4 linked regions of the Struthio camelus genome follow. The protein of the gene in region 2 purifies or fractionates together with the protein of the main gene of each other region. This does not show direct contact. Links are inferred from orthologs where the notes say so. Each region holds a gene or a part of one and is shown on either strand. Other genes may lie near its edges. The genes, in order: DDB2, COPS7A, DCAF11 and COPS8.

The links.
Region 1: the proteins of COPS7A (region 2) and DDB2 purify together in Homo sapiens (affinity purification with mass spectrometry; 5 studies listed by BioGRID and IntAct, counting the BioPlex papers as one, with this or other methods). This does not show direct contact. The link is inferred for Struthio camelus from reciprocal best matches to the Homo sapiens genes COPS7A and DDB2.
Region 3: the proteins of COPS7A (region 2) and DCAF11 purify together in Homo sapiens (affinity purification with mass spectrometry; 3 studies listed by BioGRID and IntAct, counting the BioPlex papers as one, with this or other methods). This does not show direct contact. The link is inferred for Struthio camelus from reciprocal best matches to the Homo sapiens genes COPS7A and DCAF11.
Region 4: the proteins of COPS7A (region 2) and COPS8 purify together in Homo sapiens (affinity purification with mass spectrometry; 11 studies listed by BioGRID and IntAct, counting the BioPlex papers as one, with this or other methods). This does not show direct contact. The link is inferred for Struthio camelus from reciprocal best matches to the Homo sapiens genes COPS7A and COPS8.

Annotation. Positions count from the first base shown.
Region 1 is NC_090946.1:39,425,564-39,432,660, reverse strand, and holds the start of DDB2 (DNA damage-binding protein 2), read left to right. Parts: upstream 1-3,906; 5' UTR 3,907-3,927; coding exon 3,928-4,071; intron 4,072-4,219; coding exon of another isoform or gene 4,220-4,299; exon of another isoform or gene 4,300-4,468; intron 4,469-4,580; coding exon 4,581-4,767; intron 4,768-7,097.
Region 2 is NC_090942.1:90,744,901-90,752,984, reverse strand, and holds COPS7A (COP9 signalosome complex subunit 7a), read left to right. Parts: upstream 1-4,863; 5' UTR 4,864-4,916; coding exon 4,917-5,078; intron 5,079-5,162; coding exon 5,163-5,238; intron 5,239-5,617; coding exon 5,618-5,706; intron 5,707-5,782; coding exon 5,783-5,985; intron 5,986-6,459; coding exon 6,460-6,565; intron 6,566-6,810; coding exon 6,811-6,962; intron 6,963-7,288; coding exon 7,289-7,328; 3' UTR 7,329-7,354; intron 7,355-7,625; 3' UTR 7,626-7,905; downstream 7,906-8,084.
Region 3 is NC_090970.1:262,668-270,327, reverse strand, and holds the start of DCAF11 (DDB1- and CUL4-associated factor 11), read left to right. Parts: upstream 1-4,429; 5' UTR 4,430-4,443; coding exon 4,444-4,643; intron 4,644-4,885; coding exon 4,886-5,022; intron 5,023-5,147; coding exon 5,148-5,269; intron 5,270-5,361; coding exon 5,362-5,426; intron 5,427-5,522; coding exon 5,523-5,623; intron 5,624-5,701; coding exon 5,702-5,848; intron 5,849-6,385; coding exon 6,386-6,440; intron 6,441-7,564; coding exon 7,565-7,660. Other genes in the region: PCK2 (phosphoenolpyruvate carboxykinase [GTP], mitochondrial), read left to right, coding at 790-1,244. UniProt on the Homo sapiens protein: May function as a substrate receptor for CUL4-DDB1 E3 ubiquitin-protein ligase complex.
Region 4 is NC_090947.1:4,259,442-4,266,570, reverse strand, and holds the start of COPS8 (COP9 signalosome complex subunit 8), read right to left. Parts: upstream 3,222-7,129; 5' UTR 2,969-3,221; coding exon 2,891-2,968; intron 761-2,890; coding exon 690-760; intron 1-689. UniProt on the Homo sapiens protein: Component of the COP9 signalosome complex (CSN), a complex involved in various cellular and developmental processes.

The sequences.
Region 1 (7,097 bases), on a different chromosome or scaffold from region 2:
CCGCTCCCCGCGGGCAACGACCGGCCGGGCAGCGCCTCCCCCACCCGCCCCCTTTCCGTGAGGAAACTTTTCCCTTGAAGCCGCCAGCTGGTTTGCCGCGCCGAGCTGCCCCACCGCCTCCCACCGGGAGGAGGCGGCGGCGGGGACCGGACCGGGCTCTGCCCCCGCCCCGGCCCCCCGCGGCGAGCAGGTCGGGAAGCGGCGGCGGGGGCGACCCTCACACCTACCTCGCGGCGCGGCACGGCGCGGAGCGGAGCAGGGCGGCGGGCGGGCGGCCACCTGGGCTGGGAGCGGGCCGGGCCCTCCCCCTATTTCAGCCGCGGGACACGGGGGCTCCCGGCCCGCCTCCCGCCGCCAGCGGCTGCCGGCGGGGCGGGCCCGGCCCGGCCCGGGCACTCGGGACGCGGCGCGGCGCCCCCGCCCGGAGCTCCCGATCCAATTAAGGGGCTGTGGGCCGGGGGAGCGGGGCCCCCGCCGCAGGGGGGCTTCTTCTCCGGGTTTTCTAGGTTGGCGTTTCTGCTTTTTGGTGCCGCTGTTAGGGACTGGGCGACAGCAGCCGGGCGGCGACCCGCGGGGCGCGCAGCAGCCCCTCGCTGGCAGCCCCTGGCGCGTCGGGCCTGGCCCCGCGCGCCCGCCGCCGCCGCCGCTCTCGCCCGGTGCCCTGCTCCCGGCCCTCCCGGCCAGCCTCCGCCGCGCCGGCCCGGCTCGGTCGCTCGCTCTCTTTTCCTCTGAAAAACATTTTCTGCCTCATCCACAGCTCACCTCTAAGTCCCCGCAGCCCCTCGGGTGACACCAGCTCCTTCCGAGCGCCGGGAGCTCGCGCGCCAGAGTTTCCATTTCCAACCCCGGCCTTGGGCGTGATTTGCCATGACGCTAGGGCAGGGCTTACGCCAGGCGAGCTGCGAGGCCTGGCTGGCCCCTTGCCCCTACTTTGCTTCCAAGCGACTTGGGACACAGCGCCAAGGAGCGAGTTCACAATGACGTTTATTCAATCGGTGGAGAAAGGGAAGACGGAGCGCCTCACAGAAGGAAGAGCGTGCCACACATCCGTGCTCCTGCTTCTTCGGAGTGCTACCGTGCGAGGAAGTCCTGTGTTGGAAAGCAGATGTTAGAAACCATTCTGCTTAATTTGCTTTGGCCCCGATCCTTTGCTCGCTTTTAATGCGCGTGGAGTTCCCGGGGAGATGGGCACCCGCAAGAAGTCCCTGAGTTGGTGTTACAATGAGTATCCTTTCAAAAAGTGACGCGAGATCTTTAACTTATCCTAAAAGTTAATCATAGCTGAAAATATAAGCACCAACTTCATATTCGACTGAAAAAAAAAAACGGTGTTTGGCATAGATGCTCCCTAATTCGAGATTTCCTTTCCATCATCAATTTTATGTACATTAATGAAGAGCAGAAAAAGGAAAAAAATCTGTCATAGATTAATATGCTACATCCAGCATTTATCCTGTGTTTTCATATGCTGATTTTCATACTGGTTTTGATATTGATAGCCATGCACAGAGCATCTAAAATAGATGCTTTCCATTTGGGGATCTGGCCCTCTGCACCCTTTCACCAACACTGATTAAATGGCATGGGTCCTGCATGACGTGGCAGCTTCACGCCTTTCCTCTAAGGCTGGAATAGCTTTGGGAAAATGGATTGCTCAGGTAAATGAGGTGATTAAAACAGTGACTTTTTTGTCTGTTTTCCCATTACCTGGCAGCTTAGTTAAGGTCATGGGCTAGAAGGAGGTCGGAGAGCATGATACTTACTCTCTCTTGTATCTCTTGAGGATTATAGGTTTTTTCCTACTTTTTAGTAGAACACAGGCTCGCTTCCACATGCAGGCCAAATTCAAGTTGCTGTGATGGTACTCTTTACATGAGTAGTCACGCTAAAGCAGCCAAAACCATTCATGCTTTGGAAAAAGATCCTGGCAACAAGGAGGCAAAATACCTAATACTATTACATACACCATCAAGTTGATGGTCTTAATGGCAGTATAGCTTTACCAGACCTGGTAACGACACTGCTGTATTCTCTGTTGGAGAGCCATGCATAACCAAGGCAGAACTTTACTAAAATCATAGGTCAGACAAAAGGCATCGTAAAAATAAGACTCATATCCTGCCCACCCGTAATTATACTTGCCTGACTTTGCTGCATACATTACTACTATCGGGTCTGAAGAGTGTGAGACTGTAAATACATTTAAGAACATTTTTCCAATTACTCTTTCTCTGGACTGCTCAGCATGCAGCGTGTCCTTCGTACCGTACCAGCACAGCGATACTTATCTCTGGAACCCTGGGTCAGTGGGGTTTCTTTTATCTGCATATGTTATCTGCTCTTCTTGTCCGTAGTAAATAGTAATTACAAAACTATCTGGCGACTCTCTAGAGGGAAAGCAAACTTGGTGTAATTGATTAAAAAAAGGACAGCCCTGATTGACAGCTCAAAGCGGGAAATCCCTAGGTTACTATGCATGTTCTCTGCCCGAGGAAGCTCACCCTGGAGGCAGAGGAATGGAAGGGGGATAGGAAGTGCACATCTTTGCTGGAAATAACTTGGATAACAGGATCAGCGTTTACTTTGGGAGCAGTACATAGATCATGGAAATCAGTAGATGTCTTTCAATCCACTTGAAGACGACTGGGATCGAGGCCTGTTTTTTCCAGTTACAAACATAGCTACGTACCCTTTTAAAGTATCTGAAAAGCAGATGTTAAGAATTACATAGTTTAATTTGAAATTTATTGGTGATTCCTGATGAACTCCACAGATTGTGCCTCCTCCTCCGATGACTTCCGCAAACCTGTGGACGAAACTGCTAATCACTGTTACGAGAAGAAGGATATTTTCCCATGTTATTTCCCTTCTTAGAAATCAAGCCTTCAAGGCTTCTGAGGGCTGAAGGCAAGTACTACTTTGAATTATTACTAACAGTATTTCTTGTTAATGGGTAAGTTCTCAGAACAATGTTATGTATTATAAAAATGCTTGATAAAACATGTCAACCTAATTAGCAAATGTGTTAATATGTTCTCAAAGACATTAAGTGCTGTCTGTCAGGGGTTATGACTTTTTCTATGTTATTCTGATACTTAGTCCTAGGGTGCCAGGAACTAATACAGTGTTGTTATAGTTCAGCAAAAAAAGTCCAGCGTGTGGTTTGGGTCCCTGTTGTTTCTTTTGGTAATTTTTCTATGCATTTTCTAAGATAGCAAAAAAAAAAAAAACAACCACCCAACAACAACCCAAGGAGTGGTGACAGCTATTTTAGGACCTGGGTTCAACGGCAGCTGTGTGGATGACCGGACCTTAATCACTCGGCATAGCTGCTGGTGGACCTGAAGCAGGGGGTGCCCCCGCTCCCGGCGGCGGGGGCGCCCACCGAGGCCCCGGGGCGGCCGTCGCTGGTGGCGCTCGGGGCTCCCGCCGCCTCGCGGCTCGCCGTTCGCCTTCCTGGCGCGCTTCGTTGCACAAGAGCCAGCAGTGCCCGAGTCACCTTGCCGCGCATTAGAAATTACTGCGTAACCCACGCTGCTGGGACTTCTCTACCTACCTTTAAAGAGCCTACCTTTTTTTTTTTTCTGCAGTTGAGTCCCAACACAACTCAGCCCTCAGATATGTCTTCTTGAGAAAGCTGTATTTTGAAGCAGTATCTTTTTTTTTTTTTTTTTTGGGGGGGGGGGTTGCTACAGGCCCCTGCCAGGCTGCTGCAATAGGCCAAAGCGGCGCTCTGTTTAAAAAAATAACAATTAAAAAGAAAAAAAAAGCATGTAAGGCTAGAAGACCTGTGCCCCCCAAAATAATAATAAGCTGCCAGGCGGCCGCCGCAGACGTAACAGCACCTTTGGCCCCGGCGCGGCCGAGCGCGGAGCCGGGCGGCGGCTGTGCGCCGGGGCCCGCCGCCAGGGGCCGGGCCGGGCCGCCATGGCGGGGGCGCCGGCGGCCTGCGGGCTTACCGCCGCCGCGGAGGCGGAAGAGCCGCTAGCCCGCTTCCCCGCCCCGCTTATGAAACGGCCGGGGAGGTGCCCGCTGCCGCCGGCCGGGGGAGCCGAGGCCGCCGGAGCCCAGGTGAGAGGCAGCGGCCGGGCGAGGCCTGGCGCCGGCGGGTGGGTGCAGGAGCGGGCGGCGGGCGGCGGGGGCGGCGGCCTGGGCGCTGCTGCGGGCGGTGCGCTGCAGGCCGCGTCGTCTTCGTAAAAGCTCCGGTCTCTCCCCTTAGCTGCCCCCCAAGAGGTCTCAGTGAGCTCCCGGAGAAACCAGCTACGGCGTTACGTGGTGTCCCAGCGGTACTTTACGCAGGTCTGTGGGTTTTAAGCTTAAAAGCTCCGCGGAGGCGTTTGTGGCCCGAACACAACTCGGGTGCCCTGGGGTGCGTTCGTTTTCACGTGCGAGCAAGGAAGAGGTTATTGAACCTGCTCCGGTAGAGCGCAACGCGAGGGCAGCGCCAGGCGGATGGAGGAGGGCGCAGGTACAGTCACTGCGTCCAGACCGCTGGGACGTGTTTCAGTCCCCTTTTCTCCTCTGTCTTCCGGCTAAAAAGCGTATGGCAGCCTTACCTTCCACGCTTTGTTCGCTTTCAGTGGTCAGACAGAATGGCTCTGGAGAACCAGCCCAAGGACAAGAAGCATGTGAGGACACATGAGCATCAGCTAGCAGAACTGGCAAAATCAGCTGGGAAAAGGAAACAAGACTATGAAGAAATAGAGAACGAGCCACAAGCAAAGAGGTTGTTTGTGAGAAAAACGTCCAAACCCCCAGAGAAAATAGGTAACGTTTCCTCAGGTTCTTGCTGGTTTTGCCAGGCAGATTTACCCTAAATGACAGGCATCGACTAGCTGAAGAGGGAAGATGCCAGCAAGCCTGCAGCCTGTTCAAACACGAGCGTTTGGATTGGATTATATTAAGGATTAAGGATTAAGTGATACACAGATGCGTGGTGGGGTATTACAGTCTCCAGTTATCTGTCTAATGAGCGTGCATGTGTATGCATGTTTCATTTTTGAAAGTTGCTACCCTTGCTGGACGCCTGCTCACTGAAGTCTCTGTCGCAGCTCACGGGAGGGTGATTAAGTTCTGTGGAATTCCTGATTTACCAGATGTCTGCTTTATTGTAGGACAGACCGATCCCTGTAATGTATTGTTTTTGTCATGTAGTTCTTAATGCAGTTTCATAATCGTAAGCTTGGTATCCTACAGTTTAGCATACAGTCTAAACTGGCATATTCTTTGCATATTCTGACTTTACCTACAGTAGGCAGGAAGGCTACATCCTTTCTACCTCTATATTTAGGTATTTATATTAGACTGGACAGAATTCCACTAATCACTTCTCCACATCTGCTTTTTTTTTTTTTTCTCTTGTATGTAATTTAGGAAAACGTCTCTTAAACGTTTTTGCTATGATGAGACGGAGCTGGTTGAGTTCGTAGATATTGGAAAGATTCATGCTTTGCATTGTCAGGAGAGTTGTATAGACTTCGGTTAGACTAACGATTGTTTTCATGTTTCTACGGGCATTATTTTTTTGATTCCACGTTTTGCTTAGGAGACCAGTAGAGTTATTGCCTGGTGTGGAAATAGTATACACTTTCTGTGCCTTTTTTTTTGTTTTGTTTTTAAGATCCAGAAATTACTGTAGGGTTTTTTTTTTTAATATTTGGAGATACAGGAGTTCTGCCATTTTGTACATTCACATTCTCTGATGTGTAACTCCAACCTTCAGATCAGTTGACAGTGTGAATAGTGAATGAAGATAAAATATTCTGTTTAAAAGGAGTTCTGCTTATGATGGTGGATAATTAACACTTTTTTAGTTAATTTAGCTACAAGATTTTTACTGTAACTTCACGGCCTGATTTTCAGATTTGGTGAGTTTTGCAGTTCCCATAAGATTCAGAGGGAATTGGAAGTGGCTAGTACTTTGGGAAAACGAGGCCAAGCTTATTTTTCCCTTACACCTTTCTTAAAAACAAGAAGACAAAAACTTTTGCATTTGAGCTTTTCCGTTCTGTGTCCCAATTTTGATTTTTATGTACTTTGGAAAACATGATTTTTTTCCCCAAGTAACATAAGAGAGATTCAGTTTCTTGCAATCAAAAACATTTCTTCCCCTGGATTCAGAAAAGTCCGAAAGTTTCTCTTCTTAACAAATTATCCTTCCTAACAAAACTGAATCTGAAAAAATACCCCTCTAGTATCACCTTTGAAGAAAGTACTGAAGATGCTAACTCTTCTGTGAAAACGAGGAATTTGAATGGAGATGTTTTTATATCTATTTCAGCAGGTGTGACACATGCCTGCTATGCTGGCATGTGAATAAAGAAGTTTAGTGTCACACCACTGCATCTCTAGGCTACAGTGTTGCATTAAAGAAAGATTTCCTTTACTGTCTCGTCATGAAGGATGATGTCTGTGTTTTGGTCCTATTTTATTATTAATATCCTGACATGAAAATAGGATTTTTGTTTCTTAAGAAATGCTTCCTTGCCATTTGACATCTAGATCCCCTGGGGTGTTATGGACCATTGCTGTGGGAACGATTAGATCACAGACATGGGACTGAACGGATCCTGTTTTCATGCAAAGGTCCCTGAAGATAAAACTTGGAACACGAACAAAATGTCGAAGCAGTCTGTGCTCTCAGCAAAACTCACGCTGAACAGAAAGGTTTTCAGGCGATGAGGCGTCAGCAAGTCTATTATCAAAAACCAAACTCGCAGTGCTGTAGGCAGGCTGTATGGGCTACAGCACAAGCAGATCGAATGTTCTGATTCACGAGCAGGCGTTTCAGGAACTGCATGGGAACTCCTGTGTTACTACGCTTGGGGAATTTTCAGGTGGTGGTGTTCTGCTGGTCACAAGTCTGACCTTCCCTCTGCTATAAGCTCACCCCCTCCCACTGCACGTTTCCAAGTCATTGGCGGGGGTTAGGTAGCTTTGTTGTATTTGGGTAGGTTGTAAACTATCCGAGAGAAGTACCACCTGTGGCATGTCCTTAGTCCCCTCCTATTCTCTTGGTGATAAATCACTGGCGAGGAGCAGAAAGGTTTAACAAGAGGAAGCATATGCAAAGCCCTGGCAGGCTCTGGGAAGCGTTG
Region 2 (8,084 bases):
GATCTGGAGCAGGATCAACGTATGTCATGTGAGGACAATGAAACATCTTTCTGCCCCGTCATACCTGGGAAGCACATGAGGCTCTTATTTCTGCTAGGCATAATCACTTTAAAATCATCATGTACAGATCGTTTATTCCAGAGTCTTAAGGTTGAGTGGCTGGGGAGATCTCTGATCCACTGCTTTCTAGCACTGCTTCCTAAGGGTCGTGAGGCTCGTGTGGTTGCCCTGCTACCTGGAGAAGTTTGTCTGTCCATCTGTTTGTCTGTCAGTTGCCCTGCTGTGGAACCCCTGGGCTCGTTTCAGCCAAATTCCACAAAAGAAATAGAGTCTAAAAAGTAAGTAAGTTCCAGTAAGTGGTATGAAAACCGGCAGCCTGATAGAAGAAAGAGACACTGTTGGTGGCTGTGCTGAAAGCCCTTAGCCATGCTGCTGGGCAAAAATCCACATGTCAAAGCAGTCCAGCCAGCAGGCAAAAATAAATTAAGGGGAAAATACAGAGAAAGATGTCTATGTCAGAGAGTGGGGGAGGAAGAGCCCAATGACATAGGCCATAAGCAAAGGGGAAAGGGCTAAGAGTTGTGGGGGGGTTAGCTGAGTAGATTATGGGGGGAACATAAGGGTTTTGACAAGAAATGGAAGGTAGTGGTGGGGAGGGGGTGGACTGGAAGCACTTGGGGAAGCAGGCAGCAGCTGACAGAAAGGGTGTCTTAAAGAGACCCTGGCTGAAGCTGGCATATGGTAGTGGGAAGTATAGAAAATATAGGAAACAAGTGCATAGAGAACCCAGTTTCCTTGGTCCCATTGCTCACCAAGCAACCGGTTAATAAGCTTTGGAAAACCAGAGACATCCCAGAAGACTGGAAATTAGCTATGCTCTGCCTATATTTGTGAAGAGCAAACAGAAGACCTAAAAATTTCCAGGCAAAGCAACAGAGGAGCTGATATGAGATTCTTCAGTCAACGCCAATCAGCATGATTTTGTAAGAAACTGATCTTGCTGCATAAACTTGTTTTGTTCTTGTTAGGCTTTGATGTGACTACAGGTCTGTTTGGAAAAGGTGACGACTTAGATCTATCCAGGCTTTTGGAAGCATTAATACCCCAAAGCATTCTGGTGAAAAAAATAGCGTTATGCAATGTTAACAAATCAGGAGATTAAGTGAGCTGGTTCAGTGCATTTAACTACCTAAAAATGCAAAAGGGCTTGTCCCTGGAAGCCCACCATTGAGCAGCAGTGTCTCTTATGTGCTTCTGCAGGAATGAGTCCTGCCTGGGTCAGGCATGATTCACCATTTTCTTCAGTGTTTAGGGAGCAGATGTAAAGTTCACTCTAATACAATTCACTGATGACACAAATATTTTTAGAGTGTTAAAAATAATGAGGCTAGAAACAGCATAGAATGACCGACTGCTCTCAGTAAGGTGGTCATTCACATAAAACTTCTTTTAAGATAGTCAAGAGCAAATCGCACAGCTATGAACAGGAAAAAAATTCCATATCTACAGAGAACTTTCAGTCCTGAAAAGAGGTGTTCAGAAAAAGATTTAGGGATCATAACAGGCAGAAAAATCAACACAGGCCTGGTGTGCCAGGCTGCAGCAACGGATCTGATGTGATCCTTGGCATGCAAATGCTGGACTAAGGAGGAGACGTAAGGAGATGATTACACCTCTCCCTGCGACATGAGTGAGTCCCACCCTGGAAAACTGCACGCTACTCTGTGGTCCATATTTTAAAATTAACATTGAATCAAAAATGATCTGACGGCTGGTGATCTTAGTAGTTTGAAGAGGTCAATCTGTTTAATTTATCAAAAAGCAGAAAGAGACATGACTTGATTACAGTATCACTTCCTTCCTAGGGAAAAGTCTACCAGGTATGCTGGCAGAGAATAACAAGAGCTAGTCGCTGGAGGGTGATTAATCACAAAAACAAACTACCAAGTGAAGTGAAATATCCTCTGTCTCCTGAAGTCTTTGAATCATGACTGGAGGCCTGTCTGGAAGATCATTCCTGATCTGCAAATTCCTGAAGGCTGTGAGAGCATGTGGGAGGAAAAGTTACCACGCAGTCACCCTCTTCTTAAATTCCTCTGTAAGCGACTACTACCGGGCTACCTTAGGTATAATTAGATACAAGTCTTATGTCCCTGTGCGCAGTAACCAAGTATGGGTTATAGGGCTCAAAACTTTCTGGATCATGTTGCTATCCAAGAGGTTCACCCCACCTTCCTTTGTCCTCAAAAAGTTTTTGGCTCAGAGTTTGTCGTGCTTATGCACAGCTGTGAAAAAAACATCTGTGAAGATGTGACCTGGGCTTAGTTTGGAGAAGAACTGGGAAAAAATATCCTCAGCATTTGGACAAGATCTTCAGATTCTGCAGTAGTAAAGACATAAGCAAGTTGTAATGATACAGTATAACTCTACAGGCTTTAAAGTGGGACAGTAAGGACGCAGGGAAAGAAGGTGGTTCTACGGCAGGGAGAGAGGACGGTGGGTTCATTCTGTGAAGATCAAAGTAAGATCAAGAGAAGAGAGGGATGATGCTAGAGGTGGTTACAGAGACGATCAGCAACCCTGAACACTCAGAAGTAATAACACATAACCTCCCAGTATGATAAGATTTACTTTAAAAGTAATGAAATGTTGTAAAGCCATATATATTTTCATCTGCATTCTTTGCCTCTTACTTTTGACTCTTGAGATTACACAAAGATCACATTTCACAGTTCCTCTGTAGCCATAAAGAGAGGAGTTTGCTCAGTTAACAAGATGATAGCAGGGGAGTTAACAACTCCAGGAGTTCGGAATTTAATCTCAGTGCCTGATTCCCTGATCTAGGGAGGAGGCAAAGACTTTGCCAAGTTATGGGCAAGTTGTGAATGCCTTCTAGCGAGAGTTTGTACACTTTAAGAAGAGGAGGGTCTTCTCCTCTGGAGAGCTCAGCATGTGGTTCATTCACAAGACCTTCTTTTCTTTGCCTTTGTTAATACAGGCAGGACAAGGAGGGAGCAGAACAACCGTGGGGACCAATCTAATCCAGCACACCAGACCTAGGGGGTCAGAGTGAAGGAGGAGGACAGAGGCAGAATCGTGCCGCGAGGATGCTCAGGCTGCCCAGCTTTATCTGACTAATAATGAAAGGCAGCAAGCGTGTCAGAGAATGTGAGGGAAACAGATCGATAGAGAGATAAAACTGAGATGGAAGAAGCTGGCAAGGGGGTGGGGAAGAGAGTAATAAAACACTACAAGTCAACGCGGTTACATTTTAACCTGATTTGTATGCTCCCTGCGCTGGTGTAAATGAAGGCATCAGGTGTAAGGCCAGGGTGAATTAGGCCTAAATACAGAAACAGAGGTGTAAAAGAATGAAGGAGACAGACCTCTTATTAATACTGCCCTGTAACCTGCCTTCACAGCTCCGACCCTACCTTAGAGGCCCTGCTTCCTCTGTAATCCTGCTGTATGGAGAAACCAGGACCTCGTGAGCTCTGAGAATACACATCTGTGGCCTTTCCCTGATTCACTGGACTACTGTGATCTTCATCTTCTCCCAGAGCAGTGACACTGCATCTCAGTCGCATTATCCCAGGCGGAGCACAGGAAATGCTCCTTATGGCCCTGTTCACTGAGGATCTGGGGCAGGGCAACCTCTGACACTGCCTGCTTGCTAGCCGGTGGGCACTCTGCTCTCTTCTTCCAGCAGTAGCCTCAGCACCGAGACCAAACACTGAACACACCTCAGAGGCTGAACCCCCTGAATATGGCTCGGGACAACACGTATGGCTGTAGACACGAGCTTGGAGTAACCCTCCCGTTACTCAGGCTGCACCTTCGCTGCGAGACCTGATAGCGTGAGCCCTCGCAGCAGCCACGGGCTGCGTTTTGGAGCACAGTGCCCCAAAGGAGGCTTCTCCAAAACCCAGCCACAGCAGCTGCAGGAGAAGCAGCAGAATCAAAGCAAGTAATGAGAAGGAAAGTAAGGCCTTTACAGACTTAGACGTTACCTAGGTGAAGATTTCAAGACGTTATGCGTATAGTATAGAAGTCTGGCACCGGACCACTCCACTGTCTTTGATATGTGCCGAAGACCTCTTACTCGCAAGCATGTGTTGGAGTGCAAACCTGGCCCGACTGCCTCAAGTTTGAACATAGTAAAAACATGCTGCCTGAGACCACGTCGGCTGGACGGCTGCTCCTGTCGGCCTGTTGCCACCTTTGCTTCCGTCTCAAGATGTCCCTGAAATCTGGAAGAAACCAGCTGTGGGAAAGTCAGTATGGGGCTGGAAATGAATGTTTCCCGACTCCTCTGCTCCCTCAGCCCCCCTGACAACTCCTCTCAGCCCACCGCACGATTGATGCACAAGACAAGACCTATCAAGATTATACAAAATGACCCTCTCTTTCCAGCCCAATCACCCCCACCCAAAACGTTTCTTTCGCCTCGCAGAGGGCCAACCCCCGCAGCGAGGCCTGCCGAGCCTCTTAAACTAACTCGTTTGCCCGTGAGGAGATAACTGAGGGGGCGTTGCGAAGCTTTCCATGCCGGGGCCGGGGCCGGGGCCGGGGCCGGGCCGGGGCGGACCGCGGTCGGGCGCGGGGCGCCGCGCCCCCACCGCGCCCTGCGGGGGGCGCCCTCGCACCGTGCCGGCCCCGCCGCACGCCCCTCAGGCTGGCCAATGGGAAAGCGGTAGAGGCGGGACTGGCCGCTGCCTCCGCCAGTCGCGGGCGGGGGCGTGTCGCGGCGCGGCGAGGCCGGGCGGTGCCAGCAGCCCGGAAGCGGCCGCTCTGCGACGTCGCTGCCATAGAGAAGAGGGCGCGGGGCGGGGAGCTGCGGGGGAGGGGGGCCGAGCTGCGGCGCGGTGGGGCCGGGCCGGGCCGGGCCGTGGGGGCCGCGGGCGGGCGGGAGCGCCATGGCGGCGGAGGGGAAGGTGACGGGGCAGAGCCAGGAGCAGTTCCTGCTGCTGGCCAAGGCCGCCCGCGGCGCCGCCCTCGCCAGCCTCATCCACCAGGTGCTGGAGGCGCCGGGCATCTACGTGTTCGGGGAGCTGCTGGACATGCCGGCCGTGCGTGAGGTGAGCCCGGCGGCCCGGCGGGGTGGGGGGTGAGGGGCCGGGGGCGGCCCGTGGCGCGGGGTGACCCTCTGCTCTTGGCCGCAGCTGGCCGACAGCGAGTTCGCGCCCGTGTTGCGCCTGCTGACCATCTTCGCCTACGGGACGTACGCGGACTACCTGGGTGAGTGCGGCTGTGCGTTTAATCCGTTAATGCTGCCGTCCCCCCCTCCCCCCCCCCCACCCCCGCGATGTGGCGAATCTCCAAGAACATCTTGAGGAAGATTTTTTTTATTAGGGGGCCACGGAGAGGGCCTAGGTGCCCATGGAGGCGTGGAGGCCTCTGTATGTACGGCACTGAACTGACTAGGAAAGAGGGCTCAGAAAAGCTCTTCTGAGCTGCGAGGTACCAGTGGTGGCTTGTCAAGGCAAAGCGTTGCTTGGGACACTGGTATCTAGAAGGCTTAGGAAAGGGTTATGGTGTAGATGCTTCTGTGGCAGTGCTGGGAGATGGAAACTGGGACTTGTGAAGTCTAATACCCTCCTCTTTCCCTTGAGAATAGCTGAAGCAGCAAACCTCCCTCCCTTGACAGAGGCTCAGAAGAACAAACTGAGACACCTGTCAGTTGTTACTCTGGCTGCCAAGATCAAGGTAACAGCCCTGTTTTTCCCCCCAGTCCTTCTTCTGTGGGGATTCGCTCATGCTAGTTACCTTCTTGTTTCCACAGTGCATCCCCTATTCAGTGCTGCTGGAACAGTTACAGCTGAAGAACGTCCGGCAGCTGGAGGACCTCGTGATTGAGGCTGTGTACGCGGATGTGCTGCGCGGGAGCCTGGACCAGCGGAACCAGCGGCTGGAGGTGGATTACAGCATTGGGCGGGACATCCGGAGGGAGGAGCTAAGCACCATCACCCGCACCTTGCAGGAGTGGTGAGGAGGAAGCCCACCATACTAACACCTAAAAAGGTTGAAGGAGTTGTCAGGGGCTTCCCCAGATTCTCTGCCCCTCTTTGAGGGGAGTAGTGTTTTGAGGTTGGTCTACTCAATCCCATTTCCCATACGGCAATGGAAAATAATTTTTCACTTCCCCTATTTGCTTCTGGAGGGGTGATGACAGCTCAGCAACTTTTGCACAGTTGTGGTTCCTGGCAGGAGGCTTCCTGAGTATACATCTGTATAGCTCCTAATCTAGCGTCACTTTGTGATTTGTCTCCTGCCCCCCCTGCCATGTAATAGTGTCACGACGTTATTACATGGGACTGCTCCTCCTGTGTCTTCCCTGCCTGGTTTAGTCATCACCTTCCAGTCTCATTGGCCTCTAGAGTTGAAATCTGTTGTCTTTCACTTTTCTTTCTGTGCTATGCGAATCTTTCTGGCCCGTTCAGTCTTATGTCTTCTCTACAGGTGCCAAGGCTGTGAAGTTGTCTTGTCGGGCATCGAAGAACAGGTTAGCCGAGCCAACCAGCATAAAGAGCAACAGCTGGCGCTTAAGCAGCAGATAGAGAGCGAGGTGAGTGGGCTAGGGAGGGAGCAGCCAGTTCCACTCACTTTAAAAATGACTGGAAACAGTACCATGTGGTTGTTACTGTTTTTGCTCAAGTAAGGCATTGCCTTTCCCTTAGGCCAGGACCCCAGGGGTTTGTGCCTGAAGAGTTCTAAATCAGCTAAATGCTCCTCCACAGTACAGAGATCTGGATAGTCATTAGCTCTTTCGTTTGACCTGTTTGTTTGGTTCTTGCGTTTCCAATATGGCAGGTGGCAAATCTGAAGAAGACAATTAAAGTGACAACAGCAGCTGCTGCAGCAGCCACATCCCAAGACCCGGAACAGCACCTAACAGAGCTCAGGGAGCCAGCCCCTGGCACCAACCAGCGCCAGGCTAGCAAGAAAACTTCCAAAGCCAAAGGGTGAGGAGTGGTGGCAACTGAACGTAGCCACTGTCTGTGTATATTGAGGAAGTGAACTGATGGAATTGCTGTTTCAAAGCAATGAGGTTACTGACTGCAGGGCTCTGCTCCCTGGACATGGGATGGTCACAGATGTAGTCCCAACTGAGCTCTGCCTCCTACTAATTTGGAGGGAAATGCGTGCAGTTCTTGGTCTGAAGCCGAGTTCATAAGCCTTCCTTGTGTTCTGTCCTGCTGCTGCCGAGAAGCCCCTTTGTGTGCATTTGGAAAAGGAAGTCGGGGATGAGCCTTAGTACTCCACTCTGAAATGTTCTCTCTCTCCACAGGCTCCGGGGCAGCGCGAAGATTTGGTCTAAATCAAACTAGTTGGATCCTCCTTCACAACTGGGAGGGTGAGAGGGAGAGATTTTGGGGGGGAAGGAGGGTAGCAAGGGTCCCAAGTGTGATGCTTCTGAACTCATCTCCAAGATCCATCTCTCCAACTAATTCTCCTGCATGTTTGTTCTCTTTCCTGGCTTCTTCCTTCCCAGCCAGTCTATCCCTCTTCTCTATCATAGCATTTTACCCTCTAAGCTGTATGCCTTGCTGTTTCCCTTACCCCTCAAGCCCCCATCACCACGACCATATGTTTCTCTCTCTTCTTCTCTCCTTGTCTTTCGACAGATAAATTTAAAGAGCCAGAGAGCTGCCAGTCACCTTTGCACCAGTAGGGCATGACAGAAGCTTGGAAAGTGTGTGTGGTGCTCAGCAATCGTTTTGGCTCTATGAGACCCCTGGGACGCTTTGCTCCAGGATGCAGCTGCCATCTTTGATTGTTTTATCTTTGTTTTGCTGGGTGGGAGGGTAGTTTTTGAAGGGATTCTTTTAAAAAAAAATATATAAATATATTATAAATATCTATAAAAATAATAAAAATACAGATCTATGGACATATCTATACAAACTTGTGCTCCTGCAGTGGTGTCTCATTATGCCTCATGCATGCTGATTCTGGATGTAGCAGAATAACTTCCGGTATTGAAAACCTCTGTCCCATCTATGCATGGAATGCCCTCAAAATACTCACTTCCTGCACAAAAGGGAAGTGCTACTGCAGCTATATTGGGTTGAAGATCCGTAAAG
Region 3 (7,660 bases), on a different chromosome or scaffold from region 2:
CCGTCCCCAGTGGCCCCAGTGAGCCCCTATCCCCGGGCCCAGTGGCCCCAGGGAACCCCTTTCCCCGTCCCCAGTGGCCCCAGTGAGCCCCTATCCCTGGGCCCAGTGTCTCCAGTGGCCCCAGTGAGCCCCTTTCCCCGTCCCCAGTGGCCCCAGTGAGCCCCTATCCCTGGGCCCAGTGTCTCCAGTGGCCCCAGTGAGCCCCTTTCCCCATCCCCGGTGGCCCCAGTGAGCCCCTATCCCTGGGCCCAGTGTCTCCAGTGGCCCCAGTGAGCCCCTTTCCCCATCCCCGGTGGCCCCAGTGCCCCCCATCTCTGTCCCCAGTGGCCCCAGTGTCTCCAGTGAGCCCCCATCTCTGTCCCCAGTGAACCCCTATCCCTGTCCCCAGTGTCTCCAGTGCTCCCTTTCCCTGTCCCCAGTGGCCCCAGTATCCCCAGTGCCCCCTATCCCTGTCCCCACAGGTCTTGGTGCCCCTATGACCCTGACTCTGACATCCCCAGTGCCCCCCAACCCTGTCCCCAGTGTTCCCAGTGCCCCCCAGCTCTGTCCCCAGTGCTCCTATAACACTGACCCCAATGTCCCCAGTGTTCCCAGTGCCCCGAACCCTGTCCCCAGTGCTCCCAGTACCCCCCTAACCCTGACCACAGCGACCCCGTAACTCCGATCCCACTATCCCCAGTGCCCCCCAACCCTGATCCCAGTGCCCCCAGTGCCCCCCAACCCTGACCCCAGTGCCCCCACCACGAGGCCCCGCCCCCCGCTGACCGGCCCCGCCCCCCCCCGACCCAGGGAAGCGCCTGATGCACGACCCCTTCGCCATGCGGCCCTTCTTCGGCTACAACGCGGGCCAGTACCTGGCGCACTGGCTGGCGGTGGGCGAGCGGGCGGGCGCCCGCCTGCCCCGCATCTTCCACGTCAACTGGTTCCTGCGCGACGGCGCCGGGCGCTTCGTGTGGCCGGGCTTCGGCCACAACGCCCGCGTCCTGGCCTGGGTGTGCCGCCGGGTGGACGGCGAGCCCAGCGCCCGACCCACGCCCGTGGGGCTGGTGCCCCAACCCGGCGCCCTCGACCTGGCCGGCTTGCCCGGCGTCACCTACGCCGACCTCTTCCCCATGGACCGGCCCTTCTGGGAGCGCGAGGCCCGCGACCTGCGCCGCTACTTCGACGAGCAGTTCGGCTCCGACCTGCCCAAGGAGGTGCTGGGCGAGCTGGAGGCCCTCGAGGAGCGCCTCAAGAAGATGTGACCGCCCGCCCGCCGCCGAACGCTGGCCGGCGCCTTCGCGGACCTTTCTTCGTGCTCCCTTGGCCGACGCCTTCGCTGCTGGCTCTTCGCGAGCCGTTGGCCGCCGTCTTCGCTGACCAATCACCGCGTCCCCCTCAATCTCCGCCTTCGTTGCTCGGTCTCCGGGACCTGCTGGCGAGCTTCTTCATTGACCGATCGCCCCGTCCGTTTGCCCTCCATCTTGGTTGCTCGGTCTCTGGAACGTGATGGTCGCCGTCTTTGTTGACCGATCAGCACGTCCTCTCAGCCACCGTCTTCGTTGACCAATCACCGCGCCCCCTCGGTCTCCGTCTTTGTTGCTCAGTCTCCGGGACCTGCTGGCCGCCATCTTCATTGACCAGTCGCCATGTCCCCTTGGCCTCCATCTTGGTCGCTCGATCCCCGGGACCTGCTGGCCACCATCTTTGTTGACCAATTACTATGCTCTGTTCAGCCTCCATCTTTGTTGCTCGGTCTCCATGACCTGCTGGTCTCCATGTTTGTTGACCAATCATGACATCTCTTTAGCTACCGTCTTCATTGACCAATCAGCGCATTGTTTTGAGTGCCGTCTTCGTTGAGCAATCACTGCATCCCCTCAGCTGCCATCTTGGTTGCTCAGTGTCCGGGACCTGCTGGCCACCATCATCTTGAGCAATCACCGCGTCCCCTTGGCCGCCATCTTTGTTGCTCGGTGTCCATGACCTGTTGGCCTCCACCTTCGTTGACCAATCACTGCGTCCCCTTGGCCACCATCCTGGTTGCTTGGTCTCCATGACCTGCTGGCCTCCACCTTCGTTGACCAATCACCGCCTTGCCTTGGCCACCATTTCTGTTGCTTGAGCTCCATGACCTGGCCTCCACCTTCGTTGACCAATCACTGCATCCCATTGGCCTCCACCTTCGTTGACCAATCGCCCTGTCCCCTTGGCCACCATCCTGATTGCTTGGTCTCCATGACCTGCTGGCCTCCACCTTCGTTGACTAATCACTGCATCCCGTTGGCCTCCACCTTCGTTGACCAATCACCGCCTTGCGTTGGCCACCATCTTTGTTGCTTGGTCTCCATGACCTGCTGGCCTCCATCTTTGTTGACCAATCGCCACGCCCCCTTGGCTTCCACCTTCGTTGACCAATCACTGCGCCCCCTTGGCCACCATCTTTGTTGCTTGGTCTCCATGACCTGCTGGCCGCCATCTTGGTTGACCGTCCTTCGTCCGACCGCCCTGTTGCCCGACGGCTCCGCCCACCGGCCGCCGTCGCCTGCTGACTGATGCCACTGTGACCCCATTGGCCGACGTCTCCGTGGACCCGCGGCCCATTGGCCGACGGCCTCCGGTGGGGGGGGGGAGAAGGGAGGGGGCGGCACCTGGGGGGGCTTGGGCCGGCGCCGCCCCTCGCCTGACCAATCGCCGCGCCCTGTCGGCCCACCACGTCGCCGCACCCCATTGGCCGGAGCCTGCCGCCGCCCGGCCCTTTCCCAGGTGCCTTTGGGGCGGGTGGGGACCAATAAAGGAGCCCTCAGGGGGGCGGAGCCAGGTCTGTGTTGTCCTTGGGGGGGGGGTCAACGGTCAGAGGGGGGAGGAGCTATGGGGCAGGGTCAGAGGGGGAGGAGCTAGGACCAACTCGCCGCGGCCAATCGGCAGCTACTGAGGCTCTGTGGGAGCTGTCAGTCACGCTAGTCCCACCCCCCTCACCCCCCAGCCTATCAGGGAGCATTGTTAGGCTTGCTCCTCCCACCCCAGCTGCTCTCCAGCCAATCGGGGAGAGCGCCTCCCCCTCCACGTCCCACCCTCCCTGTCAATCATCTGCCCTGCCAGCCAATCAGCACCTGCCTCGCCAGGCAACGGGGGGGGGGGGAGGGAGAGGCAGGAGGCGGCGCTTATCAGCTCCCGGCCAATCAGAGCCTGCTGTGGGGGGGGCGGGGTTGAGGGGGGACGGCAGCCAATGAGCTGGCTGGGGGCTCCCCCCCCCCGTGGGGGGGTGGTGGCAGCCAATCAGGGCGCAGCGCCTAGGCTCCGCCCCTCCCCGGAGCCTCCGCTCTGGCTGCGTAAACAAGTTGCTGCGGCCACCAGGTGAGGGGGGGGCGCCGCCGGTTGGGGGGGGGGGCGCCTCGGAGCGGCTCCTGATTGGTTGCCGGCGGGGAGGGGGAGCGCCCTGATTGGTGGAGCAGGCCCCCCCCAACCCGGGGCGGCCGTTGCTGGGGGCGCCGGCGGGGTCCCCACCTTTTGGGGGGGGGGGTAGAGCATGCGTGTCCCCCCCCCCCTCACGGCACAGAGGGTCCCCATTGGCTGGCTGTCCCCGTCCCCGCCCTCTGATTGGCTGGCAGCGGGGCACCGCTGTGCCCCCCCCTCGCGCCTCCCCCCCCCCCACATTGAGCTGGGCGACCCCGGGGCTCCGATTGGCCGATACTGGGAGTGACACTGGGGGGGGGGGGGCCGCCCCTCTCCCGGGCCCGTTGCCGGGGGATACCGGGGTCAGCCGGTCGCCGCGGGAGACCGGGGGTAGGCCGGTTGCCGGGGGTCGTGGGGGTGTCAGGCAGTGGCAGGGTGGTCACGGGGGGGGGGAGGGGAACAACCCGGTCGCTGGGGGTAACCGGTGTCAGTCCGGTCGCCAGGGTAACTGGGGGGGGCACCCGGTCACCGGGGTAACTGGGGGGCAGCCTGGTCGCTGGGGTAACTGGTGTCAGTCCGGTCGCCGGGGTAACTGGGGGGCACCCGGTCGCCGGGGTAACTGGGGGGCAGCCTGGTCGCTGGGGTAACTGGTGTCAGTCCGGTCGCCGGGGTAACTGGGGGGCACCCGGTCACCGGGGTAACTGGTGTCAGTCCGGTCGCCGGGGTAACTGGGGGGCAGCCTGGTCGCTGGGGTAACTGGGGGGCAGCCTGGTCGCTGGGGTTAACTGGTGTCAGTCCGGTCGTCGGGGTAACTGGGGGGCAGTTCAGTCGCCGGGGGTAACCGATGTCAGCCCGGTCACCGGGGTAACCAGGGGGCAGTTCGGTCGCCGGGGGTAACCGATGTCAGCCCGGTCGCCGGGGTAACCGGGGGGGCAGTCCGGTCGCCGGGGGTAACCGATGTCAGCCCGGTCGCCGGGGTAACCGGGGGGGCAGTTCGGTCGCCGGGGGTAACCGATGTCAGCCCGGTCGCCGGGGTAACCGGGGGGCCCCGCAGGCGGGACGCCGCAGATGGGCTCGCACAGCAGCAGCGGCGGCGGCGGCGGCGCGGGGGGCGGGCGGGAGGCGGGGGGGCCGCGGCGGCCCCGGGGCCGGCAGCCGCCGCCGCCCCCCCCCGCCGAGGAGCGGGAGAACGAGGAGGAGGAGGAGGAGGAGGAGGACGAGGAAGGAGACATCGACCTGGTGCAAGTGGTGGCCTACCTCCTGCGCAGGTAGGCGCCCCCGGCGGGTGCCCCGGGGCATCGTGGGATACGGGGGTGAGGGGGGGAATGTCCCAGGGCATTGTGGGAGACTGGGGGGGGGAATTGGGGGCGGCCCCAGGGGATTGTGGGAAGGGGGGGGACCCCCAGGGCGCCGCGGGGGGCGGGGGGGGGGAGGACGAGGGGGGCGGCTCTGCTCGTCCCCGAATGTCCCCTAACGCCCCCCCTCTGTCCCCCCCCCCACCGTCGCACAGCCGGCGGGTGCGGCTGGTGCAAGACCCGCAGGCGGCGCGGGACCTCTCCGACGACGAGGAGGAGGATGAGGAGGAAGACGAGGAAGACGCCGAGAGCGCTTGGGAGGGCCGCCCGGGCGACCGCTACGTCCCGCCAGGTAAGCCGGACGCCTGGGCCCCTTGGCATGCGGCGGTGGGGGGGGGGGTGGGAGCAGGGGGGGCAGCGTCTCCCCCCACCCACCCACCCGCCCGCCCGCCGCCGCCGTTAACGGAGCGCTGGCAGCGGGCGCCGGCCCGGACCCGCGGGCGCTGGACGGCCACGAGCTGAAGGCGCAGCTGCAGCTGGCCGAGGGGCGCGTGGGGCCGGGGCCCACGGAGCAGAGCTTCCCCCGGCTCCTGCGGCAGGTAGGGAGCTGGGGGGGGGGGCCGGGAGGGGGGGGGAGGAGGGTCGCGCCCGGACGCCTGGGCCCCTCACGGCGCCCTCTCGCCTCTCGCAGCGGGAATGGGGCCGGTGTCGCAACGGCAGCTTCTCCTGCGGGGAGAAATCCCGCGTCAGCTCGCAGTGAGTAACCGCGGGGTGACGGGGTCGGTTGGGGGGGGACGCGCGGCGGTTGGCCTTGCTCCGCTTGACGCCCCCCCCCCCCCCACTCGGCTACAGCTTCCTGCCCAACCACGTGAGCTTCGCCGAGTGTTACGCGCAGAAAGCCTTCTGCGGCGTCTACTCCGACGACGGCAAGCTGTTCGTGTCCGCCTGCCAGGGTGAGCGGGGCGGCGACCCGCGGGAGGGGGCGGGGGGGGGGGGTCTGTACAGGCGCTGACGGCTGTGCCCCGCCGCAGACCACACGCTGCGGCTGTACGAGTGCCGGGGCGACGAGCTGCGGCTGTTGCGGGCGGCGCGGGGCCGCGACGTGGGCTGGAGCATCCTGGACGTGGCCTTCAGCCCCGACGCCACCCAGTGCCTCTACTCCAGCTGGTCCAACTACAGTGAGTCGGGGTGGGGGGGGGGAGCTTGGGGGGCGGGGCTTGGGCCAGGGGGCGGGGCCTGAAGCCTGGGGGCGGGGCCTGAAGCCTGGGGGTGGGGCTTGAACCCCTTGCCAGGACCTAATGCAGTACTTGCTAGTCGAGCAAGTGGGTTGGGGGTGGGATATGAGCCTGGGGGGTGGGGTTGAGCCTGGGGGTGTGGCTTAGTGTCAGGGGGTGTGGCTTGGGGCGGGGTCTGGCCTATGGGGTGGAGCCTGAGTCCCTCAGCAGCACCCAGCTTCTCTTCTGTCCTAGTCTGGCTGCAGGGAGTGAGCTTGGGGGGCGGGGCCTGAGCTCAGGGGGTGGGGCCTGATCCCAAGGGAGGTGGGGCCAGGCTGTGGGGGTGTGGCCTGAGCCAGGGGGTGGGGCTGGGGGAAGCCCCCCCACCCCCGGCAGGGCTAGCTGTGGGGGGGGGGGAACAGGAGTGGGGCCTGTGAGGCTCCTCCTCCCAGGGGGTGTGGCTGATGTGGCCCCTCCCCCTCTGCCTGTGACCCCGCCCAGTCCACGTGTATGACATCTACGGGGACGGGGACAACCACACCGCCCTGGATCTCAGGTGGGGCTGGGGGCAGGTTGGGGGGGCGCTATGGGGCGGATAGGGGGGGCCAATGGGTCAGGTTAGGGGCTGCATGGGGCAGGTTAGGGGCTCTATAGGGCACATTAGGGGTCTGTGGGGCAGGTTGGGGGCTCTGTGGGGCAGCTGGGGGGTCTGTGGGGCAGGTTGGGGGCTCTATGGGGCAGCTAGGGGGTCTGTGGGGCAGGTTGGGGGCTCTGTGGGGCAGCTGGGGGGTCTGTGGGGCAGGTTAGGGGCTCTATGGGGCAGCTAGGGGGTCTGTGGGGCAGGTTGGGGGCTCTGTGGGGCAGCTGGGGGGTCTGTGGGGCAGGTTAGGGGCTCTATGGGGCAGCTAGGGGGTCTGTGGGGCAGGTTGGGGGCTCTGTGGGGCAGCTGGGGGGTCTGTGGGGCAGGTTGGGGGCTCTATGGGGCAGCTGGGGGGTCTGTGGGGCAGGTTAGGGGCTCTATGGGGCAGTTAGGGGGTCTGTGGGGCAGGTTAGGGGCTCTATGGGGCAGTTAGGGGGTCTGTGGGGCAGGTTAGGGGCTCTATGGGGCAGCTGGGGGGGTCTGTGGGGCAGGTTAGGGGCTCTATGGGGCAGCTGGGGGGTCTGTGGGGCAGGTTAGGGGCTCTATGGGGCAGCTGGGGTGCTGTGGGGCGGCACGGCGGGCGCTGTGGGGCGGCGCCGTGGGTCACGGGGGGCCGCGGGGCGCAGGCCGGAGGAGCGGCGCTTCGCCGCGTTCTCGCTGGCGGTGGCGGCCGACGGGCGGGAGGGGCCGGGGGGCGGAGCCGTGGGGGGCCGGCGGGCCGCCGTGGGTCGGCGCCGTGGGTCACGGGGGGCCGCGGGGCGCAGGCCGGAGGAGCGGCGCTTCGCCGTGTTCTCGCTGGCGGTGGCGGCCGACGGGCGGGAGGGGCCGGGGGGCGGAGCCGTGGGGGGCCGGCGGGCCGCCGTGGGGCGGCGCCGTGGGTCACGGGGGGCCGCGTGGCGCAGGCCGGAGGAGCGGCGCTTCGCCGCGTTCTCGCTGGCGGTGGCGGCCGACGGGCGGGAGGGGCCGGGGGGCGGAGCCGTGGGGGGCCGGCGGGCCGCCGTGGGGCGGCGCCGTGGGTCACGGGGGGCCGTGGGGTGCAGGCCGGAGGAGCGGCGCTTCGCCGTGTTCTCGCTGGCGGTGGCGGCCGACGGGCGGGAGGTGCTGGGCGGCGCCAACGACGGCTGCCTCTACCTGTA
Region 4 (7,129 bases), on a different chromosome or scaffold from region 2:
CATTTCAACCAAGATTATCTGTAGGAAACCTAACACTCAGCATTAGTGCTCAGTGGAGTTGGGCATGCACTATACGCCTACAAGGCAAGCATCATTTACCCTGCATCAATAAAACATTTTCAATAGAGTTTTAAAAGGAAAGAATCAAGTTCACACAGGGACATGTTAATAATCCACCAGAATGAATTTAAAGGATTACATCAGTCAAATAAAGATGCTAATTTAGATCATTTCAACAACCAGTGCCCCTCATGTTTAACACAGGAAGTTTAAAGTTACCCTGCAATACCTTTAAATACGAAACAGCAGCATGCAGTCGAAACAGCAGCATGCAGTCGTAGTCAAAACAAATACTGTCTTAAGAAGCTACAAAGCAAACCATAGAAGCATTCAATGCTTCCCACAAAAGCCAATTTCACTACTTAAATAACTTTCTTCCTGAAGTCTGTTTCCCTAGGCTTCGGAAAAAGTACGCAAGAGCAAATAAAGGAGGCTATTTTTCCTGACATAGGAAGGGAAGAGAAAGACTTACAGTTGATTCCTACCTAAGCTCATTTTTTACACAACACTGCCTACATGCATTTTGTTAGTCACACAGATTGACCTAGCATTGCCAGAATTCTAGCAATCAGCTTAAAAGGGACAAATTGTTCAGTATACAAAGCTAAATATTCATAAGAGCCACTTACATGTCATTATGTAACAAGTATAAAGCTAGAAGTTGGCCATAAACAAGGGGTGTTGCAATTCCTCCAGGGGCCTTAAAAGCAAGCACAAATAATTTGGTTACATGTTTTAAAAGCAAGACATCTTAAGAAATACATCAAGCAGCTGAATTTAATGAAAAATGAACATAAGACACTTGCTGTTTTCCACCTCAGATAACAGCTGTGGACAAACTGTCAGAGTTGTGACACTGCATTAACACATTTGTATCTCAAGATGAAGAGTACCTTGCACAAGCCACAGTTTTGCCTTAGAAAACTCTATTATGTTGTCTGCACGAGTAACATAAAACAGCATATTTCATTATACTAATGTTCTAGCTTATGCTCATGAAAGTGGTGACCATCTTATTCATCATGACCAGGTGCATCTAGGCTGTCTTCAGTGAACTTGACTTCAGTTCATCTCAGAGCACTCCACAAGAGTAAAGTTTCTTTCCACACTTGAATTGCCCTTCTTAAAAAGGGAGGCTGAGCTTTGACACTTGCCACACTTCAGCAGACCTCACCAATTGTACAAGTAGGAAAAAAGAGTTATAATAAAGTTATAAGATTTTGGAAGGCTATAATTATTAAAAAGCTGAAAAGATTTCCAACAAGCTTTTAGCAATTTATCAAAGGATAGTGCAGTAAGCATTCACAGGAAGCCAATTACGCAGCTATTGGATTTCATTATGTGTGTGACTTAGAGGCTCATCTAAGCCAAAAGCAGGTGATTAGCTGCGTCACTGAACAGATATCATCCCCAACTACTCTTCTCACCCTTTTTTCCTGGGCTTATCACCAACCTACAGCTACAACATTTTCAGCAAACACACCCTAGATTACTTCTGGTAAAAACAAACACAGGTCAATTAACATCACCTGTTTGAACTGTGCAAGTCTGGTGTTCCTCTGTAGCAAATTAAAGAAAAATCAGGTTTTTCTGCCAGAACACTAGTGCGAGCTGATGGAATCACAAACAGTCAGAATAATGCTTTCATCTACAGTCTTGCCAAAGGAAGCAGAAACAGAGCTAACTCAGCTCTAAGCAAAAGAAACAGTAAGGACGAGTGGTGCATCTGCTGTCATTTACTCTGGGTGGCTCTGCTGACAGACACAGCAGAAGCCTCGAGCATAGCACAGCCTAAGTTCAATTGCTTTATAACAGCTCCCAGGGACCCACCAAGGTCCAATAAGACACAGTTTGCAGTGAGGATGCCAGGGAGGGATGTCAAACTGTCTCAGACGGCTACAGAAGCAAAGCCAACAGCCTTCCAGACTCCATTCTCAGTACTCAGAGCTGAGTGTGCTGGGCTGATACAACTCTCCCTCTGCTCCACAGAGTCGAAAGAGGCACACAAAGCTATTTAAAAAATAAAAACCCTCCTCTACAGGATTCTGGGCACAAAAAGAAGCTACAGCATCACACTGGGATTATGAGTTGCACCTTGGGTCCAGCACAGAAATAAGAAATGGAGGCTGAAGTTCTTCCTCAACTAAAGCACCAGGAATACAGACCCGTAAGTAGTGACCTCCTCCATTTAGAGGTTATATTTAGTAGCACCAAATTGTTTGGTAACACCAGACTGCATAACTTCAAGTTCAGCTGTGGCAAGCAAACAGCGACTGGGCCACCTCCCTGCTTTCAATTGCTAGGCCAGCAAGATGCAAAATCAGTACCACTAAAGAGAAAAAGAGAAAAGAAAAAAGAAAACAGAAAAATTCTCATTTTCCCCTTCTTTCAGGTCTCTACCTTGGGAGGCACGGTATTCATTGATTTAAAAAAAAAAAAAAGCAGAAGCACTGAAAGCTCCCTCGACAGCAGCCTTAAGGATACGACCTAACAACAACTTCTGACAATTAACAGGGCAGCACTGGGACTTGTAACCTCTTCCCGCCGCGGCTCCGGGGGCCACTCCAACTTCACTCAGCGCCCACCACCCATAAACCCTCCAGCGAGGGCCACGTTAAAGCAGCATGGAGGCCACCCCCCGTGTAAGACATCCCCCCTGCCCACACACACACAACCCGAGGGGCGCTCCCAAGCCGGGCAGCGCCCACAGCCTCAGCGAGGCGCCCCGCCGGCCACGGAGCAGTGCGCATGCGCGGTGCCCTCACCAACCCCCCCCCCCCCAGCCGCCGCCATCGCCATGGTGCTCCCCGCGGCCCGGCCCCGCCGGTACCTCGAGCTCCTGCGTCTCGCACTGCTCCAGCAGTTTCTTGAAGCTGAAGGAGTTTTCTGCCATCACCGCTACGGGCATTTTTCCCCACCCCCTCGCCACGGCACCCCGCCGCCGCCGCCCGGCCCGAAAGCGCCGCCAGCCGAAACCGCCTCCTCTCAGGAGGCGGCCGCGCCTGGGCGTCACTTCCGTCCCGCCACCACACGCACTTCCGCCCTCGACGCGCGGCAGCCGCTCTAGCGCGCTAGCCGCTCTGTCTCTTATACCCTGGAGGACTTCCGGGCGGGGAGGGGGGTTCCGAGGCGGGCTCGGCGGGGCCGAAGCCTGGGGGCGGGGCCTCGGCAGCGGGGGCGGGGCCGCGCGCCTTACGAGGGTGCGGAGGGCGCGCGGGGGCTGCGGGGGGTCCCTGGGCCGCGGCCGCTTCGCGCGGCCGGTGCGAGCCGGGGGGCGCGGCGGAAACGCATGAGCGGCCCGGTGTGCACGGGCGTCCTGCTGGCGAGCTCCCAGTGTGCACGGGCGTCCTGCCAGTGGGCTCCCAGTGCACACGTACATCCTGCCAGTGAGCTCCCAGTGTGCACGGGCGTCCTGCCAGTGGGCTCCCAGTGCACACGTACATCCTGCCAGTGAGCTCCCAGTGTGCACGGGCGTCCTGCCAGTGGGCTCCCAGTGCACGCATGCATCCTACCAGCGAGCCCCCAGTGTGCACAGGCATATTTCCAGTGAGCCCCCAGTGCACACGTGCATCCTGCCAGTGAGCCTCCAGTGTGCACAGGCATCCTGCCAGTGGGCTCCCAGTGCACACATGCATCCTGCCAGTGAGCCTCCAGTGTGCACAGGCGTCCTGCCAGTGGGCTCCCAGTGCACACGTACATCCTGCCAGTGAGCTCCCAGTGTGCACGGGCGTCCTGCCAGTGGGCTCCCAGTGCACGCATGCATCCTACCAGCGAGCCCCCAGTGTGCACAGGCATATTTCCAGTGAGCCCCCAGTGCACACGTGCATCCTGCCAGTGAGCCTCCAGTGTGCACAGGCATCCTGCCAGTGGGCTCCCAGTGTGCACAGGCATATTTCCAGTGAGCTCCCAGTGTGCACAGGCATCCTGCCAGTGGGCTCCCAGTGCACACATGCATCCTGCCAGTGAGCCTCCAGTGTGCACAGGCGTCCTGCCAGTGAGCTCCCAATGCACGCATGCATCCTGCCAGTGAGCCAGTGTGCACAGGCATCCTGCCAGTGGGCTCCCAGTGCACACGTACATCCTGCCAGTGAGCTCCCAGTGTGCACGGGCGTCCTGCCAGTGGGCTCCCAGTGCACGCATGCATCCTGCCAGTGAGCCCCCAGTGTGCACAGGCATATTTCCAGTGAGCTCCCAGTGCACGCATGCATCCTGCCAGTGAGCCCCCAGTGTGCACAGGCGTCCTGCCAGTGGGCTCCCAGTGCACTCATGCATCCTACCAGTGAGCTCCCAGTGTGCACAGGCGTCCTGCCAGTGAGCTCCCAGTGCACGCATGCATCCTGCCAGCGAGCCCCCAGTGTGCACAGGCATATTTCCAGTGAGCCCCCAGTGCACACGTGCATCCTGCCAGTGAGCCCCCAGTGTGCACAGGTGTCCTGCCAGTGGGCTCCCAGTGCGCACAGGCATATTTCCAGTGAGCCCCCAGTGCACCCGTGCATCCTACCAGCGAGCCCCCAGTGTGCACAGGCATATTTCCAGTGGGCTCCCAGTGCACGCATGCATCCTGCCAGTGAGCTCCCAGTGTGCACAGGCACATTTCCAGTGAGCCCCCAGTGCACACGGGCATGCAAACAGGAAAAAAAAAATCCCGCAAGCGGAGCTGCGGCGAGCTCTCCGCGAGAGGGCACTGCCCGCCAGAGCAGCAGCCTGCCGGCGCCCAAGGGACAGGCCGAGGGGGGGTTTCACACGGTGCCTTCTCGGCTGCTCTCTCTTTTAGGGCGCTCGGGCATCTCGAGGGGAGTCAGGGGGGAGCCCAGGGAGGAGGCGGTGGCCTCCCAGTGCCGTCCAAGGGCGGCCAGTTGGCGGGACGCAACGCCTCGGGCCGGCGGCAGACGCGGGGACGGGTCTGGGGGACGGGCAGCGGCTCGGCCGGGTGGAAGGAAGGAGAGAAAGAGCAAGAAAGCGAGAGGAAAAGAAGGAAAGGAGAGATGTAGGGAAAGGGCGAGAAGGAGGAGGGGCGCCGTTGGGCTGCTCTACAAATATTGTGAAGGCCCTTTGCTGGCTCTTGTAGTTCAAAATGGCGAAACGGCGCGGTGACCCAGCTCCGCGCGCTCCCTGGGCCCCTGCGGGAGAGGCTCTCCTCCGGCGCTTGGGGCCTCCCCCCGCCCCAATTTGTTTTATCCTAGTTTATTAACTCAAGAGACGAAGCAGAGGGATCTGCTTTGGGCTTTCGCTGCAGCCCCTGGCAGTAGCGGAGGTCAGCTGCCAGGGCCGGCTCAACACGCCGGAAGCAATTTTTGTTCCCAAAGCCTGGAGATGCCTGGAGCCAGCACAGGACGAGTTCAGACCCTTGGTTGTAAGCCTTGCTTCTTGCGCGCGGGACAGAGCGAGGACGAGCCGTCCATAAATCCCCACCACCACCACCGCTCTTGAAGCTCACGTGCTTCCCTGCCCCTCTCTGGCTGGTCTCTCCAGACTGCCCTTTCCCCTCACCTCCAATGGCCCTGGTGGGACATCACCCAGCAGCAGAGACCCAGCAGTAACCAAGAGCGTCCTGGCCCTCACAAAGTCACGTCCAGGAGCCTCTCTTCAAGTGAAGCCTCAAAATAAGAGGCAGGAATCAGAAAAGAGCTGAGCTAGCTGGAAAATGTGCGCGGCTTAAATTAGTGGCGAAACTCTGATTTGAAAGACCCTGAATTTTGCCTTTGGCCCGTAGGATTTGAAAAAAAAAACACTTTAAGACTTGGCTGCCGGCTGTTGCAGAAGCGTAAGGTATTTTTAATGCGATTTTGTTTTTATTCCGTGCCTTAGGGCAGCGATGGTGTGAAGCCCCCAGAAATTCATCTGTGCCTCGTATGAATTTTAATGCAGCAGGAGAAATGGATTCCGGTTCTGCCGCACTGAGCAATCGTAACGCATGGTAGTTTTGTCTTCAAAGTAACATCCCAGCCGGCTCCAGGAAAGGCTAGCGGAGACGCTGGGACTGGGCTTCGTCTTCCCAGTTGTTTCCACGCGCTGCCTATGATCCGGAGCTATGCTCTGGAAAGGCGATTAGCAAAGCTTCCCCTTTTCTTATCTTCTTCAAACGCTTTTAAGGGGAACCAAAAAAAAAAATATCATTAAGGCGGACAAAAAGATCATTAGAGGGAAAATAAGATGTAACGGCAGCGATATGGAACAACAGGAAAGGTAATTTAATGCAGAAGTCAAAGAAAACGGTGGTAAGGGTCAAGTTGAAGTTCTCCACACCCTTCCTGATCGTCCGCGCGCCCCGATTTATATTCGCTGTGGCTGAGCTGAGGAGCAAATATCTCTTAAGTACATTGTTTCCTTCCATTACATCAAAGCATGCTTTTTCATTAGCCACCCTAATCAAAGTGGACAAACGTCTCGTTTTTTTTATTAGCCGTTGCATCGCAGGGCGGAAACAGCGAGAGGCCAAGGCGAACAGGCCGCAAGCAGAACCCAAAGGGGACAATTTCCTCCTTGGAAACTTTTTTTTAACCTGAGGGCTACGACAGCGAGGTTACAGGGCTGCAAGGAGCTTCCTCCCGCCATCACTGTTGTGATATTAAAGAGAAACCAAGAGGCAACCCAAAGAGCCTGGGTCTAGTTTGGGAAAGCACTGACGCCAGGATTTCTGGTGGCGGCGGGACGACACGCGTTTCGGGTCCAGCACTGGCGCGAGCGCCCCGCGGAGTCGGCGCCGCCTCTCTGAAGGTCTGGAGAAAATCAAAAAGAAATTATTCTTTTTGCTCCCAGCCGATGGGCAGCCAGGCAGGACACTCGGGAGACCGCGGCCCCTTTCTCCCGCCCTTTGCGCGAGGCAGCGGCGAAGGGGTCCGTGCCGGATGACGCGCTGAAGGTTGTCCGCGTAGCAGAGCATCCGGGCAGGGCTGCAGGTGTCTTGACCCGCCGTTGGGTCAAGAGCGATTGCTTCTGCCAGGAGCTCCGGAGGCAGAGATTGCCCTTTCCTAACCTGCGAGGGGGAAAAGAGACCCTGCGTGTATTTAACCTGAGCTGTTTTTATGACTTTCAGGGCACGTCTACACATTTTCCTCTTTTTGCCTCG